2 linked regions of the Lepisosteus oculatus genome follow. Each later gene encodes a partner of the first gene's protein in a complex. Links are inferred from orthologs where the notes say so. Each region holds a gene or a part of one and is shown on either strand. Other genes may lie near its edges.

What was found. Proteins that work in one complex are often made in the same cells at the same time.
Region 2: vps39 (region 1) and vps41 share a complex: the UniProt entries of both Homo sapiens proteins name them as parts of the homotypic fusion and vacuole protein sorting (HOPS) complex. The link is inferred for Lepisosteus oculatus from reciprocal best matches to the Homo sapiens genes VPS39 and VPS41.

Annotation. Positions count from the first base shown.
Region 1 is NC_090703.1:20,304,051-20,311,621, forward strand, and holds the start of vps39 (vam6/Vps39-like protein), read left to right. Parts: upstream 1-4,529; 5' UTR 4,530-4,542; coding exon 4,543-4,615; intron 4,616-6,329; coding exon 6,330-6,395; intron 6,396-7,356; coding exon 7,357-7,421; intron 7,422-7,571. UniProt on the Homo sapiens protein: Regulator of TGF-beta/activin signaling, inhibiting SMAD3- and activating SMAD2-dependent transcription.
Region 2 is NC_090701.1:20,679,165-20,687,171, forward strand, and holds the start of vps41 (vacuolar protein sorting-associated protein 41 homolog), read right to left. Parts: upstream 3,064-8,007; 5' UTR 3,020-3,063; coding exon 2,999-3,019; intron 1-2,998. UniProt on the Homo sapiens protein: Plays a role in vesicle-mediated protein trafficking to lysosomal compartments including the endocytic membrane transport and autophagic pathways. Acts as a component of the HOPS endosomal tethering complex.

The DNA.
Region 1 (7,571 bases):
TGCCCTTGTGCATTCTGTTTGTTCGCAGACTGCAAGATTCTTTTTGCAATGTCTGATTTTAAGGGTGCGTTGAAAATCTCTCTCGTTTCTGATTTCGGAAATTCTTAAAGAAGGCATCCAATGAATATTAAAAGGATTGAGGTTTACTGAGCAGTACATTACAGACTGTTTTGCAGTCTTTGTGTGCTTTTATTTAATATAAGTTAGATCCTGATGTCTGATTTTTTATTAGCGTTTTTGAGAGATCAGAGTCTCCCATGTCTTTAAACGGGAAGGCTTTCAGAACGTCACACTTGAATCACCTGAAAACTGTCATGATTTTTATCATTTGCTATTATTAACTCATGAAGGCTCCCAATTTGTTACACGTACCTTAAAGAAAACGTTTCGTCTTCCAGCTTCTCAACACACCAGGGCTTCTTTTCTGTCCTTTCAGATTTTTTTCATAGCGTGCATCGACAGTAAAGGACTATGGATTAGTTTCTGTACAATGTCACCATTTGCCATGATCCAAGCAGTGATTTGTAGAGCACATTAGTGTGGTAAAGGAATGAAGTTTTATTTTACATATCTTGAAAGAGCTTTTACCTTAGGAAAACATTTTTTACAACCATTTTTTGTTAATTTTTTAACATGCAAGTTAGCAGTCTAGTCAATTTTCAATGTATGAATAACACAATGGCCATAAATTGATGATAATGCCTAAACAATGTGATCACCATGTTTACAAAGTAATACCTAACTCAGAAGCTGTAGTATGGGGATGTGTCATGCCTGTCTTACACCACAGATGAAATAATCTTTTACAGCTCAGCTGTGGGCTTGAGCTGGAGTATAGACGATGATCATGGGTTAAGGGAGAGAGCTGCTCTGAGTCACCTGGCACATGATGAAACTGTCCTAGCTCTACAGAGAACAGTGTCGGGCTCATTCTCCAATCTTCAAAGACTACGCTATGCGCTTGAAATGAAGGTTGAAATTGGAACAGTTCACGTACTAATGTACGCTTAGTTCGACTCTGAGATCGGGCTGCTTTAAATTTAATTTTACAATGTTACCTAATGTTTTGTTTGCATGTGTTTGAAAAGTAGTATTTCTTATGATTATTTTGCTAGCTTGCAGTATAATGTACTGTATAGCTACTTTCCACTTATGATCTTCAAGAAGCTACCTGCCTGCATTGTCCTACATGTGTTGACTGGGCAGTGGATCTAGTGCAGATCATTGATAACGGGAAGTGCTTTCTTGTAGATTGTACAGATTAGTTAAAATGTATGCTTAGTCAACTTTTGTTTCTATTGTGACTATTTTTTGTTTTAAAAAGGAATTATTTTTCCCTAATCATTTCCAAATATAGAATTCTTAATGGAAAGAAGAATCCCAAATGAAACAGTTTGAAGTCTCAGTCAGCACTTATTCTGTACTTTCATTACATTTTATCTTTCTTTAAAGGCTGTGGTCCAGTACACAGCCTGTGATCAGACATTGCAATAAATGTTTATATGTTCACAATGATAAAACCAAAATCCCAGTTATTTGCCACTTTTGTTGTTCCGTGCTATTGCTCTGGACAAAATAGGCCTGCAAAATGGGGTGGTGCAGTGGTTACCATTGCTGCCTCGCAGTGCTGGGCCCTGGGTTGCTGTCTGTGTGGAGTTTGCACGTTCCCCCCATATTCACATGCGTTTCCTCAAGATGCTTTGGTTTCTGCCCACAATCCAAAGACATACTGGTAGCTTAATTGGCTTCTTGGGAAAACTGACTCGGATGTGAGTGTGTACATGACTGTGTGTGCCCTGTGATGAACTGTGATGATCCAGGGTGTATCCTGTCTTGTGCCTGTTGCTTGAGGGACTCCGGCTCCCCCTCAGTCCTGTAATGGATAGAGCAGTTAGAAAATGGATGTATCGACAAACAAAATACGTGATCTTTCAAAACTCAATTTACTTGACCTTTGTACCATTAACAAAGGGTGTGATTTTTGTGATTTATTCTCTTACGATCTGATGACGAAGACAGACCTGTACACTGGGAGAAGAGAAGGTTGTATTCTGATGGGCTTTCTGCTTCACACCAGCTACAGTACAACCTCCCCATTGTTTGTTACCCAGACACTGATTGTGGATGTTCTTGATGCTGTATATGTGATGCTAAGAAATTTTAGCTCTAGGAGTTAAAGTGAGAATTTTGTCTGTTTTGTTAAAAGTAAAATATGGCTTACTTTCTTAAAGAAGACTAAAGGCATGAGACCTAGGATAATAATCATACAGTCACTGGTCAGTGGTCCGGTAACAGTGGTTTATACAGTATAGTGGAGCACTTCACAAATTTATTTTAGTGCCTCAGACTTTGTCCTGATGCAGTTAATGATAAATACGTGGGGTATTTTTTAAAGATATATACTCTCCAAAAAAGAACATGTGTTGTTCACTGGTATGTGTGAAATGGGATCTGCTTGTAAAAAAAAACCAATTTTGTATGTATGATTTGTTTCCAGATTAAAGTTTCTATTAAACAGTATTTTGTGAGTTATTCTCACTTGGGTGCAATTTACTTGATTCAGATCTTGTAAAGAACACTCAGCATTTACAGCCCTGCAACAAAGTATCAATAAAATCTTTTTAATGAAGGTCAAACTAGTAAATTGCAGTGCACTTGCTGTCTTTTCTCACTTAGTTTTGCTTCCCCACTCTTAACACTCTTAATTACCGTGTAAATATGCACAAGAACAACATAGTCAATGTAATAACCGTTATGGCTCTGTTGTTTTGCAAAATCTTTAGGACAAGTATCCGGAGCCACTGTCCTGGAGAACTCCAGTCAGGAAGTTCAGATATTTGTTCCAAATTATATTTTAATCATTAAATTACATCTAATTGATCACAATTTAATTGCTGTGAAACTAGATGGCTATAAAACCCGGTGCACTGGTTTTCTCTAGAACCAAAGATGGGGACACTTGCTCTACACAGTAAAACGGAGAGGAAAACATTAACTTGCCATCCTGCAATGGCAGGGCAGAAAAAAGTTACGGGCAGCCTTAAAAGCTTTTGCATTTCTGTGAAGAAAAAATATATCTGTTGAAGGATGCTAAAGTACTACATTTAAAACGCCCTGAATTGCCTGGTAGATGTTTAACGTTGTTTGTATCTGTCTTGTGTGTACATTGAAATAACAAAATCAAACCTGAGAGTTTCATGGGAGGTTTGTTTTATTGGTTACAATTAAATCACCACCTTCTAAAGACCTACAAATTTAATTCTGGTCAATTAAGAAGCTGATTTGTCATTTGGTACTCCATCGAGTACTTTAGCCCTAGAAGACCATTTTTTCTTAATTAAAATGATTCATCAGAATCTTACAGATACATCCAAACTTCAGAAACGTGACATAAGATTTTATACGTAACTAGTTACATCATCACCGATTTATTTAGGCATTAGCCAAATGTTTTTTAGTACTTGCCTGACCTAGATACACAGAACTGTTTAAAAATACTTGTTTGACGTGTCTAAACTGAATTTTATGTGCCATTCACGCACCGTGCAAATGTATTTGCAAGGCTGCTGATGGAAAAAAACAGATCAGAAAATATCAAAAGCAGCAGTGTTTAACCCTGGTCCTGGGGGGGGGCAGCAGTCCAGTAGGTATCATACATAGTGTAACGCACAATAGCTTTATATCGGCAACCCCACAGTTCAAGACCTGGGAAAGAATATTAAACTGGAAACAGTGGAATCTGAGAACAAAACTGTGCTTCAACAAATACCTTTGGAGGACCAGAATGGACACACCAGAACTGAGATTGAGTTCGTTCAGACAGGAGCACTGAAAGAAACTTGATCAGGTTAAGACAATTTAAGTTTTAGAAGGAATGTTAGTCAAATACATATAAATATACAGTCAATGTACATTATTCTGTGTTTTAACCAGAAGACACGTTCTCTATAGCGTTAAACTACAGTACATATACCAGAAGGTAGTCGATGGCTTTCATAGTCCAAACAGATATTTTTCCGCACAGCAGATCTTCTGAATGTTCCCCACGTGAGAAGGGCATCGGGAATCACGTGTGTATCATGGTCCGTGTGGGCCAGGTCTGTAGACACAAACAAGAGGAAGTAAGAAACAGACCAATAAAAACATTTGCAGCTACTTCCGACATGAATCTCATCCTTCGATCAGCTGTTTGACGGCGTTCGGTACAGGATAAGTCGGTGTTTGCAGTTTCGTGCACCTTTTAATTATAGCCTTTCCCGAGCAGCTGGATGTAAACAACACAGATCTGAAATCGCAGCCGGAATTTCAATTTCACGGAGTCGGCTTCGCCGTCAGCAGAGACCCCGGCTCCCAAGCGCTGGTGATCTGCAGGAGGAGGAGGACTTTGCCTTATTTTTCGGAGAAGCTCTTCAAGATCTCGGCACAGCTAAAGAGAAGCCAGGTGCAGTTGTGCCTTGTCAGTAGAGAAGACGGAGGACCTGAGACCCTGCGGCGGCTTGTGTTGCGGTTTCCAGTCGGGCCGAGAAGGTCGCTGAACCGGCCATGCACGACGCCTATGAAGCGGTCCCCATCCTGGAAAAGCTGCCTCTTCAGATAGACTGCATGGCGGCCTGGGGTGAGTTAACCACCAGACCGGGAATGGGGACCACTTAGTGTGATATAATTTTACGAGTTTAGCGGAACAGTTGATGGAGAGCTCTCCGGAGCATTGAGACATGATAGAAAAGAGGAACTTTGTCAACGAGTGACATTGGTTCCTAGGCAGCACTTAACACGCATTCGCTTTCATTACTGTTGAACGTGTTTTTACATTGGTTTACATACATGTTATATATGTACAAATTTATTATTTTTGTACTTATGACATCACATGTTTGTATACATAACATCCACACGCCTCAGGTATTGTTCTCAATATTAGTTATAGAATAAATGTAGGATTAATTATTTTGCGTTATTTTACATTTACTTCGAATGACATTAAAAGAAGCATAAGAAATACGTTTTTGTTTGTAGCTGCATTTTCTGTTTTTCATTTGTTTTACCCATTTTTTATGAAAGGTACAAACGCTTTATGCAATTCTCCTCGTAATTTCCTTAGCGAAATTAGATGCTTATGGACTCAGATTTAAAACCCTAAATGTAGCATTCCTGAATCATTTGACTCCTTTCTCAGGTGGCCTGTGCGTTTTGATGAGAGAACCCTGTGCAACTGGATTTTCAAGTTTCGCAGTTTCATCCATATTCCCTTTATTTCCTTTGGTGCTTAATTCCAGGACACATTGAGGAAGGACAGGTTATAAACATTACAAACTGTAAATTGGTGTCAATCCTTTCATTTTCTCTTTAATTAAAAAGCATAAGCCTTTTCTCTTAATTTCCAAAACATTATTTTCAGATAAGTGAACACATTTTTATGTATATTTTTGCCTCATCGGACATTTAATTTGGGTTGCCTTGTGTATAGTTTTACAGATACAGTATGGTAGTAATGAGCTCAGACTGTCCAATTGAATGAGTAGGTGGGCAGTGCTCCTGTCATTCAGACCCAGTGAGACCTGCTGATCAGTGTTCCTGTTCCAATGAGTCTAAACAGATAAGAGTAAAGCTTTAACAACACAGTTATCAAATGTAGCCTACTGCGAAAACCATATAATACAAGTTATGAACATCTGATGGGTAGCACAGTGGGTTAGTATTGCTGCCTCTCAGCACTGGGTCCCTGGGTTCAAGTTTGGATCTGGGGTGTTATCGTCGTGGGGTGTTCTCCCTGTCTGTGTGGGTTTTTGCCAGGTGCTCCAGTTTCCTCCTGTTGACCAAAGACATACTGATAGGTTAAGTGGCTTCTGGGAAAAGTGGCCCTGGTGTGAGTGTGTTTGTGTGTCTGTATGTCTGCTCAGCGTCTGACTGGCATCCCATCCAGGGTGTACCCTGCCTTGTCTCTGTTACTTGCTGGGATAGGCTCCAGCTCTGCAGTGGAGGAAGAAGTTAGAAAATGAATGAAGGGACATATTTTTGATATTTTAAAATTTCATTTTTGTATTGGGAAGGTTTCTTCGGATTTTACTAAATGTTCTTCACATAAGCAGTAAATTCTGGTGCGACAAATATCTGTGAGTCTAATGTGGAAAATGCAAGGTGAGCTATGACACAGTGACTTCACGTTAAATTTTCCAATAGGAGCTAAAGCTGATTTTCTAGGCTGCGGTGTTTAATAGTTTTTGTTCACCCAAGCTGTTTCTTAGCTGGTATAATTATTTGAAGGAGAGTGATTGCCCAGTGACTGGGCAGTGTGTTCTTCTCCAGTGACCACTGTATGTGTTTTACAGAGGACTGGCTGCTCGTGGGGACCAAGCCAGGACACCTGCTGCTGTACAGAGTCAAGAAGGATTCAGGTGGGCTCCCTCACGCGCTGCTGAAGAGCAGTTCAAGTCACCTGTATCAGCATGTTGAAACCCTGTTTCACTTCCAGCCTTCTCTTCTGCTAAAATGCGTGAAATGAATTGCTTAGCAGCCAGTTAAATTAACAGTGCTGGATTAAAAGAATGCTCTAGGCCATAATCTCACGTCTCTTCTTTGGTTCTGGCCATATTTCCGGAATCTCAAGCCCGGGGGATATCTGTATGTGATGACGTTAAAAGCTTTTTGTCTATTTTGTTCTGCGTGACGCAACAACAGAAATATGAAATGACAGAAGCTATTCTGGCTAGCGTCCACCATTTTAGATCTTTTTTTTTGTAACATTGGGTTATGATTTTAGTTTCCAAAAATAACGGTAGTATTAACATAGCGAAAACTGACCAGGGCGTGCTGTGTTAAGTGTATTGTATTGTAACTTGAAGTCTCTCTGTTCTTAACCACTGCTGCTTACATGTCAAAATGACACCATGAAGTTAGGATGGGAAAGCACATAGGTCTTGCACAGGCGTCAGTGTATAGGGCTTTTCCAGTGTGCTTAAGAGCAGATTTGCTCACTTCTTGGCCCTCCCAGCTACTGGGATGGCAGTAACGTATTTGGTCTGGTTTCTAGCAGGGATCATGCCATGGCAAATAGCAGTGGGCGTGGGGGCAGCAAAGTAGACTGTTGCAAAACTGCCAGTGTGTAATACACACTAAATGAAAAGCAGTAGATGTTTACGACTTTAATTTTTTGGCATGCCGTAGTGCAGGCAGACATTCAGTAATTATTTGTACAGTTCTTCATAAAGACCCATTGTCCCGACAAGGGAAATAAGAGACTTGTTGTCAAAGACAGCCCTGTTCTTTTGTATGTATGGGTGTAGACGCAGAAATTGGGGATGTGCTGGCCTTGCCAGTTTCCATGCTGTAACCAGACTTCTTGTGCCTTCCTTATAGGCAGTAACAGGTTTGAAGTAACGCTGGAAAAATCCAACAAAAACTTCTCCAAGAAAATTCAGCAGGTATGTGGTAAAGTAACTTCTGTGGACTGATGTCATTCACTATTGTTTCATATGCATGTGCATTTTTGTGTTAAATTAGTCGGGCCAGCAGTGGACTGATTGTCCCATTTGAAGCAGTGTGCTATTGTGTTTAGTGTCGGTATGATTTAA
Region 2 (8,007 bases), on another chromosome or scaffold:
CATCCTATCCCACAGTGACCTGCACAGAAATGTTCATTTCCACTTACAATTCAGTTTCTAAATGTAGTATTACTGTATAATGATAATAATAATATTATTATATTAATTAACATTAATGTAATAATATCATCCAGGTGGATGCTGCACATTGGTGGTGGTGGAGGGGAGTTCCCATTACCTGTAAAGCGCTTTGAGTGGTGTGTCCAGAAAAGCACTATATAAATGTAAGCAATTAATTATTATTATTATTATTATTATTATTATTATTATTATTACAAACTAAAAATTAAATACTACCCAATACTAACATACAGTATATACTTTATAAAAATGTCTTTGGCATTTCAGGCTTTGAAAAATATGCTACACAAACATTCAATATTTGATCGCAGAATATTCGATACATTTATATTGAGTTAATACTAAGAATAATTCCTTGCAATTATATAGAGCTTTTCAACTCAGAAGATCTCAAACCTCTTCACAAACAGGAGGAGACTCACTACATCCAACATCTCAGTGCTGCACAAACCTGGGTGACAAATGCATCAGTAGCCCAAATACCCAAAAAATTAGATGGAGAAGTGAGCAATTGCTTCAGCAACTGAACTAAGGAGGAACTATAGGCAGGCCAGACTGAAGCAAGTACAGAGTGGAATGTAGGTAGGACATGGGCTAACACTCCTACTCATACAGACTGTGCTTTGGGATCACCAATGACCAGGCAGTCAGGATCTCCGTTTCACATCCCATCCAAAGGACAGCACCTCCAGTAGCACAGGGTCCCAATGGGACACTGGTGTGGAAATTCTGGTGCAGATGGAAGAGCGCCACCTACTGGTCCATAAGTACAGCAGCAAGTAAGGTCACCCATTGCTGTACTGACCGAGATCAAGCCCAACCTTGCTTTGGCTCTCAAATCTGACAAGACTGGCATTGCTGGTCACAAATTTTAAATGGGATGTCATAAAAACAAAACAATTTATAACTTATTTATTTATGAATTATCTAGCTCTGTTGAAGATAACTTAGAGATTTAAGATATCCCTTCAAAACATTAACTAAAGAAATACCAAAACTCTATTTTGGGCTTTTATTTAGTGGTGCTAGAAGTGAAAAACAAAAAGGAACTGAAAACATTCTGACTGCAGTCTTGTATGATTTTCATCATAGTCCATAAATAAAAGTTCAGACATACTGTTACTAATAACTGTTACATTACTGTAACTAATGCTTCAAAAATGTTTTATTTTTTAGCTTATATACTGTATGAATCTAGAAGCAAGGAATATTTAAAAATTAAGACATGTTACTCCTCTCTTTTAGAGACACAGTGTCAAAATTTACCCTTTATATTTCTGTTTAAATCAGGAAATTGGGAAGTTTAAAAATGAGAGGAAGACATTTGGCCTGCCCACATCATTTAGTAGTTAGTAGTTAATTTATCCCTAAGTCCCATCCAGCTGTGTCTCTAAAGAAGCCATGGTACTGGCTTCAAGTAGAAAGTGGCTGGCCAGCTTGTTCCATTCTCTCACAAAGCTTTGTATAAAGAAATGCCTCCTGTTCTTGGTTTAACATACACTTCCACTTGTGTTCCCTGATTTGTGTTTCACTTAGGTCTTATGTTTCATAATATATTTAATAAAATGCAATATGAAAAATAAAATAACTAGAAGGATGCTTCCTGCTAATCCCTGTATCTTGATTTTACCTTAAATGTGTTAAATGTAATGGTGAAATAATAAAAAAATAAAGATTTCATACATCCATCCATTTTCTAATACAGGGTGATATCCTGGCAAGCAAAGGACACAAGGCAGGATACACCCTGGCTGGGACGCCAGTCCATAGCAGGGCACACATCAGGGCAAATTTTCCTGCCGGTATGTCTTTGGACTGTAGGAGGAAACCGGAGCACCAGGAGCAAAAACTCACATGAACAACTGTAACAAATCTGGAAGCTAATTAACAAACCTCAGGAACTACATGCATGTGCAGAACTGGGCATGGAAAAACTGACTTCCTGTGAGAACATGAGTTAATTGGGTAGTTCACATTAATTTGCCTTTTCCTTTCACCTCACTGAGTTTTTTCTTCATCCCTGTGATTTGTATTGCTGACAATTCGCTGATTATGGTTAACATTAGGCATGTCCATGCTATCTTATTATTCCATCCAAACAATTAAGTACGACTGATGATGACAAACACTAGTTTGTGCAGGTTTCGATTTCCGATTATCATTACATCCTCAAGCAGCCCTTATCTAAATCAGTTCTGCAAAGAATTCTAGCTTCTATATTTCACCTGAATTCATCATTACAAGGTAGAGCACAGGTCTAATGAGCCATTCTCCAGTGAAATGTGAAATATACAGTATTATGCTGTTTGTCTGAGGTTGTATAACTATATTAGTCCTGTAACACAAGTAGGAAAGCCAGAAATTTGTAAACACCCAGTGGCTGATTTATCTAGGACATTTCCGGTCCCCCTACAGCAGTATGACAACAGATAGGTCTTACATAAAAAGACAGGCCACTGCACGATTACAGATCTTGAACTGTCAAGAACTGTAGCGCGCTAATTCTTCGTTCAGCTACGCCATCTCGTAATTTACGTTAATTAATGTTCAGTGACTGACAGTAAATGTGAGCTAGGAAAGAAATGATTGTACAACATGCATTACATTGTCTCATTCGTGAAAAAAGCTTAGTCACTGGCTTAAGTAAATCGGGAATAAACTAATGTGTTATAAAATTATTAGATTGGTCCTAGTTTCTTCGAAAACCTCAGTGCATTTCAAATAGAAAATCAGAATAGACATCCTTGCTTCCTTCGAAAGTCTACCCTCTTTTATATGTCTGACTTGTTTTTCTTTCACCTTAAATACTCATCTTGTAAAAGCACACTTAATAGCCCAATCTACTTTCCAAAAGCTGACAGCTGTACACTGCATTTATATATTTGCTGTTTTACAGTACTCAGCACCAGATACCTACCTGCTCTTCTGCTTCCGCCATGATGCAGCTCTGTATCACATGACAAAAACAGGAAGCAGGTTGCGAAGCTCTCTGGGATGTGTAGTTTTCTCAGAGCGCGCACCGTGCCGTCTCGCTTTTACATCCTGACATTTAAACATGTTTCAGCGCGATGTCTTCTGAGTGGTTCGCTGGCATCACCAGTGTAAGCAACTATGGAGAAAGAAACTTATTCGTTTTATTCACGAGCAAAATCAAATAACAAGTCACAATTTCTGATTTCAATTAGTTATTTTTTTAACATGGGAAAATTGATTAATACGTAGACCACCCTTACGTTTTTAAAATAAATTGTCAACGCAAATCACAATTAAAATATACGTTTACTATTTTGTTTATATTGGTCAATAATAATAGTACTAAGAATAATAACCTGGGCAGGCTTGAAACTATGAAGAGAACAGTGGTTAATGAGCCATAAGAACTTGACTCGGGCTCCTTGCTCGCTACTCGAATATGTCAAATCATCTGGCGATAGACCTCTTCGATAGTATTCAAGTAAATAAAAGCATAAATATAGACATGTATCTATTGAACCGGTATACGTTTTGCAGATAATTTTAAGAAAATATTATGCATTTACTATCTTATAACAGTTGCAGAGGTCAGTATTGCTACATTCCTCTCCTGAGATGTCCGAGGCTGTAGAAAAAATAGCAGAACAACAATATCGCTGCCTTGAATTGATTTCACCACAAATCCAAAATAAAAAAAAATGTCGTTATTAAATAAGAGTCATAGAATAAACTACGTAGATTTTCAGGCATTGTTCTCATGTTTCTTAGGTGCGTTTTTTATTTCAATGCAAATATTTGTCATAAAATAACTGCAATTGATAAACATTTATGATTCTTTGAATTGTGTTGATCTCGATTTCTTGGTCGTTGTTTGATAGCGTGTTCTTACATGATGATGATGATGATGATGATGATGATGATGATGATGATGATTATTATTATTATTATTATTATTTATAAATCGGTGTTATTGGCTGGTAGACAATATCCCACACCCGAAGACAGAGGTCGCTATTGGGTAGCTACATGAACATGTTTCTTCTGCTTCAAAGAGAATGTGCGTTTCCAAACTTCAGGGACTATGCGCGTTTAGGATATATTGGAATTGCGAATATATTGGAATTGCTTGTTTCTAAAACGTACTTAATTTAAAAGATTGCTGTCCGGTGAATGCTAATTATGCATAGGTAAACGCTGTGTGAAACTATACGAGCTTAACCTCAAATAAAATAAATGCTGAAACGAATCGGGGGGTTTCCTTGCTGTGTCGCTTTTTTGAATACCGACAGACGATCTAACTGAACAGCTTGTCACTACTTCATCATCCGCAAACGAAGAGCTGAGCTGTATTCATGAGAAATTGGAGTATTAGAAAATTAAATATGTTATTCCAGTTGGTTCGAGAAAATGAGTTTCAATTAGCGATATGCGATTGTAACTTGAAATGTATCCTCATTGATAGCTAAACATGTATTTTCACTGAGGATAGCGAATGTATAAATCTACTTTTTATGCTATTTACAGTTAATAAAATAAACACATTTTTGCAGATAGAGAGGCTAATTAAGGAATCGAGTAAATGCTTAATTTTTATTCCCCGGTGAAGGTAACTAGCTATCACAAAGTGTAAGCACTGGCAGATTTTATTTTTGCGTATTATTTTAAAATGAGGTAATTACTGTATAAATGTGAACAATAGTATAAAAGTTGAAGAAAATCACACTGGCCCTTGTAAAAGCTGGCGGACTGTTCAGCTGATTTGTTTTGCTTGCACTTGTATTAATGCAAGGTAGAGATAATATAAATAATAACGTATGATTGGTATTAGATAATACTGTAAATAAAATTGCACTATATCTGTTAAAATAACCTAAACGTGTTTCTCCTTTAAAATGAAAGTTTCTGAAAACCAGTAATAGCAGAAACTGCAACAAAAAATATAAAACAGTGATAAAAACACTTCACATTGCCTAGAGATATACATATAGAGAGAGGAATACTTTATATTTCCCCTGTTGAAAAATAAAGCCAGACACAGAACGTACAGGTACAGTATTTCAAAAACCTTCTAAATTGCTTGCATGGATGATGCTGCATGATGTTAACGAACGACTTCGAATTAAACTCAATTTAATCAAGGTCATTTTTATAATATAATCCCTTAATCAAATGACTTTAACATTTTTGGAAAAATGTGCCTTCTTCCATAACGATGCACTGTTTATATATGCTACCATTTCCCCGTAGTTTTATACAGGATCTATTAAGCATCCTCGGTTTTTTTATCGGATCTAGGTTTACTGGTCAATAAGACGATTAAGTATTTCAGATAGAATATTATTGAGTACAAGCGGGCTTTTTAATAAACCTATAATATGTTCAGATATATCCGGAGTATCCACCCGGGAAGTCCCCTGGGAGGGCCTGTCCATCTGCAAAAGAGATATGCAAAGTTGATCTTTAAATCTTTTTAATGCAGGTTGAAGGAGCATGTCAAGGATCAAATTATAACTTCGATTATTTATTCGTAATCCATTGTATTCACACAAACATTAGAAAAGTGACCACAGCCGTAATGAAGTCAATTACAAAAAAACTGCCACATCGCGCTAAAATAGATCCAGAAATCCCTGGTTCTGCAATAATTCAGAAAAAACTCTTCATTAATTTAGAATATTACAGCTAATAGTTTATTGTTGATACACTGTCGACTTGATAATTGAGAGAAAAAGAAGTAAACAGACATCTGCGCTAGCTGTCGAAATAAACGAAACAGCGTATAATTTAACACGTTATTATTCTTTGAATATGGTGTAATTTTCTGGATGTTTCTTTGATATGCAGGGTAAATAATTATGATTAAAACTAAGTAAGAGCTCTTAATAGTAAGTTGCTAAGTAAAGACAAAGTATCCTTTGGTAAATTATACAATAACACGTGTAATAATCAAAACCTACACAACATTTATTGCAGTCTTTATCTGAGTTCTTTGCCAGTGGTGCCAATTAATGTATTACTGATGGTCCTGGACCCAGCAGAAAGCTATTTAATTCCTACTTGGTCTCTTGGCATCAGCAAATAGCTGACTATTTTACAATACACCAGGTAGTGAATACAGGTAGTGAGTATTCCTTTTAAAAACTCATACAATGCATGGGAGTACAGTATGTGTTTTGGGTCTGAGAGCATTTACAGGGTGGGTTGGGAGTGGTATAAGAGTGTGTGTCTTTGTGGACTGAAGGGGGTCACATGACTTTTTTCATCCTATTTGGTAGAGCTGCTTGACTTTTTCTGCTTTTGGTGATAGCCGTGACTCTACGAGCAGGCATTGATTGACAGATGCATACCAGAAAGCCCCTGTTTGCCTTTCACAGACTCCATATGATGGATTGTGATCTCCCAGGCCAGCTGGACACAGAGACCATGAATGCTGTAATTGGTCAGGTATGGAGTCAGCCATTTCTCAATACGTTGTCTTTCATATATTGTTCACTGCTGTGCAAAATCCTTCACATCTTAGATACAATCAGGAGTTGCACTATATGCTTTTATGGGGATCAATAATTTACACAAAACCTCCATTAGTTTTCTCTTACTTTAGTGCCTTTGATATTAATACAGATAAATATAAGTGAGACAAGAAGAAAACAACCTTGTCATTTAGCAATTTTTAATTTACATTGATCAGAGTTTTCAAGAACTTTATCACAACACCTGTGGGTAGAGTACAGTATATATGAGCAACCAATACACAGTGTTGTAGTAACTAATTCTCCACATATACTAATCATTTCTAATTGACTACTTTTCTTGTTATGTGTTCCTTTCTACACAAACATTAAGCTAGTAGTGTACAAGGCTACATTGATGTACTACAAAATTCAGATGAGGATTAAGTGTTAGCATTGTTCAAAAGAGCTATAATTGTGATAGCATTCTGACAATTTTTTCTTCATGAAGAAGGAAAAACTCAGTGATAAGAGTAGACAATGTCAAATGTCTAAGACTTTTGCACAGCAGTCTATATTTTAGTATGTTAGAGGTTATATATGTATGTATACTATAAGTGTGAGTAGTCAGGGGTTGCAATAAATCCTATGACAGGAGCTTTCTGCTGTTAAGAGACTTGTGCTCTAGGAACACTCTCAGGTTTGACTGGGAATCTGGTTCCCCTGCTGTTTTCCTAGGTTTGTAATTTAAAGTGACCTTTGATAACATTTTTTTCACAGCCTGCTTGCACATAATGACAGTGCTTAATATAAGTGTGCCTGGAGGGTATAAATTGTGCACGTGCACATGTGTGAGGCTGAGAGTGTTTTCTGTTGATTGCCTGAAGATTAGAACCAACGCATGAATCTGAACTAAACTGTTTTTTTTATTCAGTACCGGGTCAACACAGAGTGTACGGTGCTCTCCATGCTCAGCTCCCCGTCTTCTTTTACTCCTCAGCAATGTGATGTTCGATTCGGCTCTGTAAATGTACCCATCCCCTGTCGTGGCACTACAGGGCTCTGTAAATGAGACACTGCCACAGTTATAAAAGTCCAGGTGCTTCACTACTGCTCCTAATGCAATCATGCAACAACAGCTGTAAGAGACAGGATTGTCTTGCTTTTCCATCAGGCGCCAGTGATATTATATACAGTATATATATATATGTGATTCCTTTTTGCCTTTTCTTTTAGATAACTATGCTAGGAATTCCCATGTTGTAAAGAATAATTATCAAGTTTCTCCCATTTGAGGCTTCTGGGTTATTTTGTCTCACTGTCTTGACAAAAGAAGGTTTCCTGTGGGTTTTGAATTTTTGCCACTATGGCTTTGTAGTGATCTGCTACTGAAATATCTTATCTTCCACCATTTCTTCTAAAATGGCAAAGTGTTATCTGGGCTTGTAGAGCTCTGAAGGCTGGCTATTAAACACTCCTTTAGAAACTCAATTGATATTAAAGC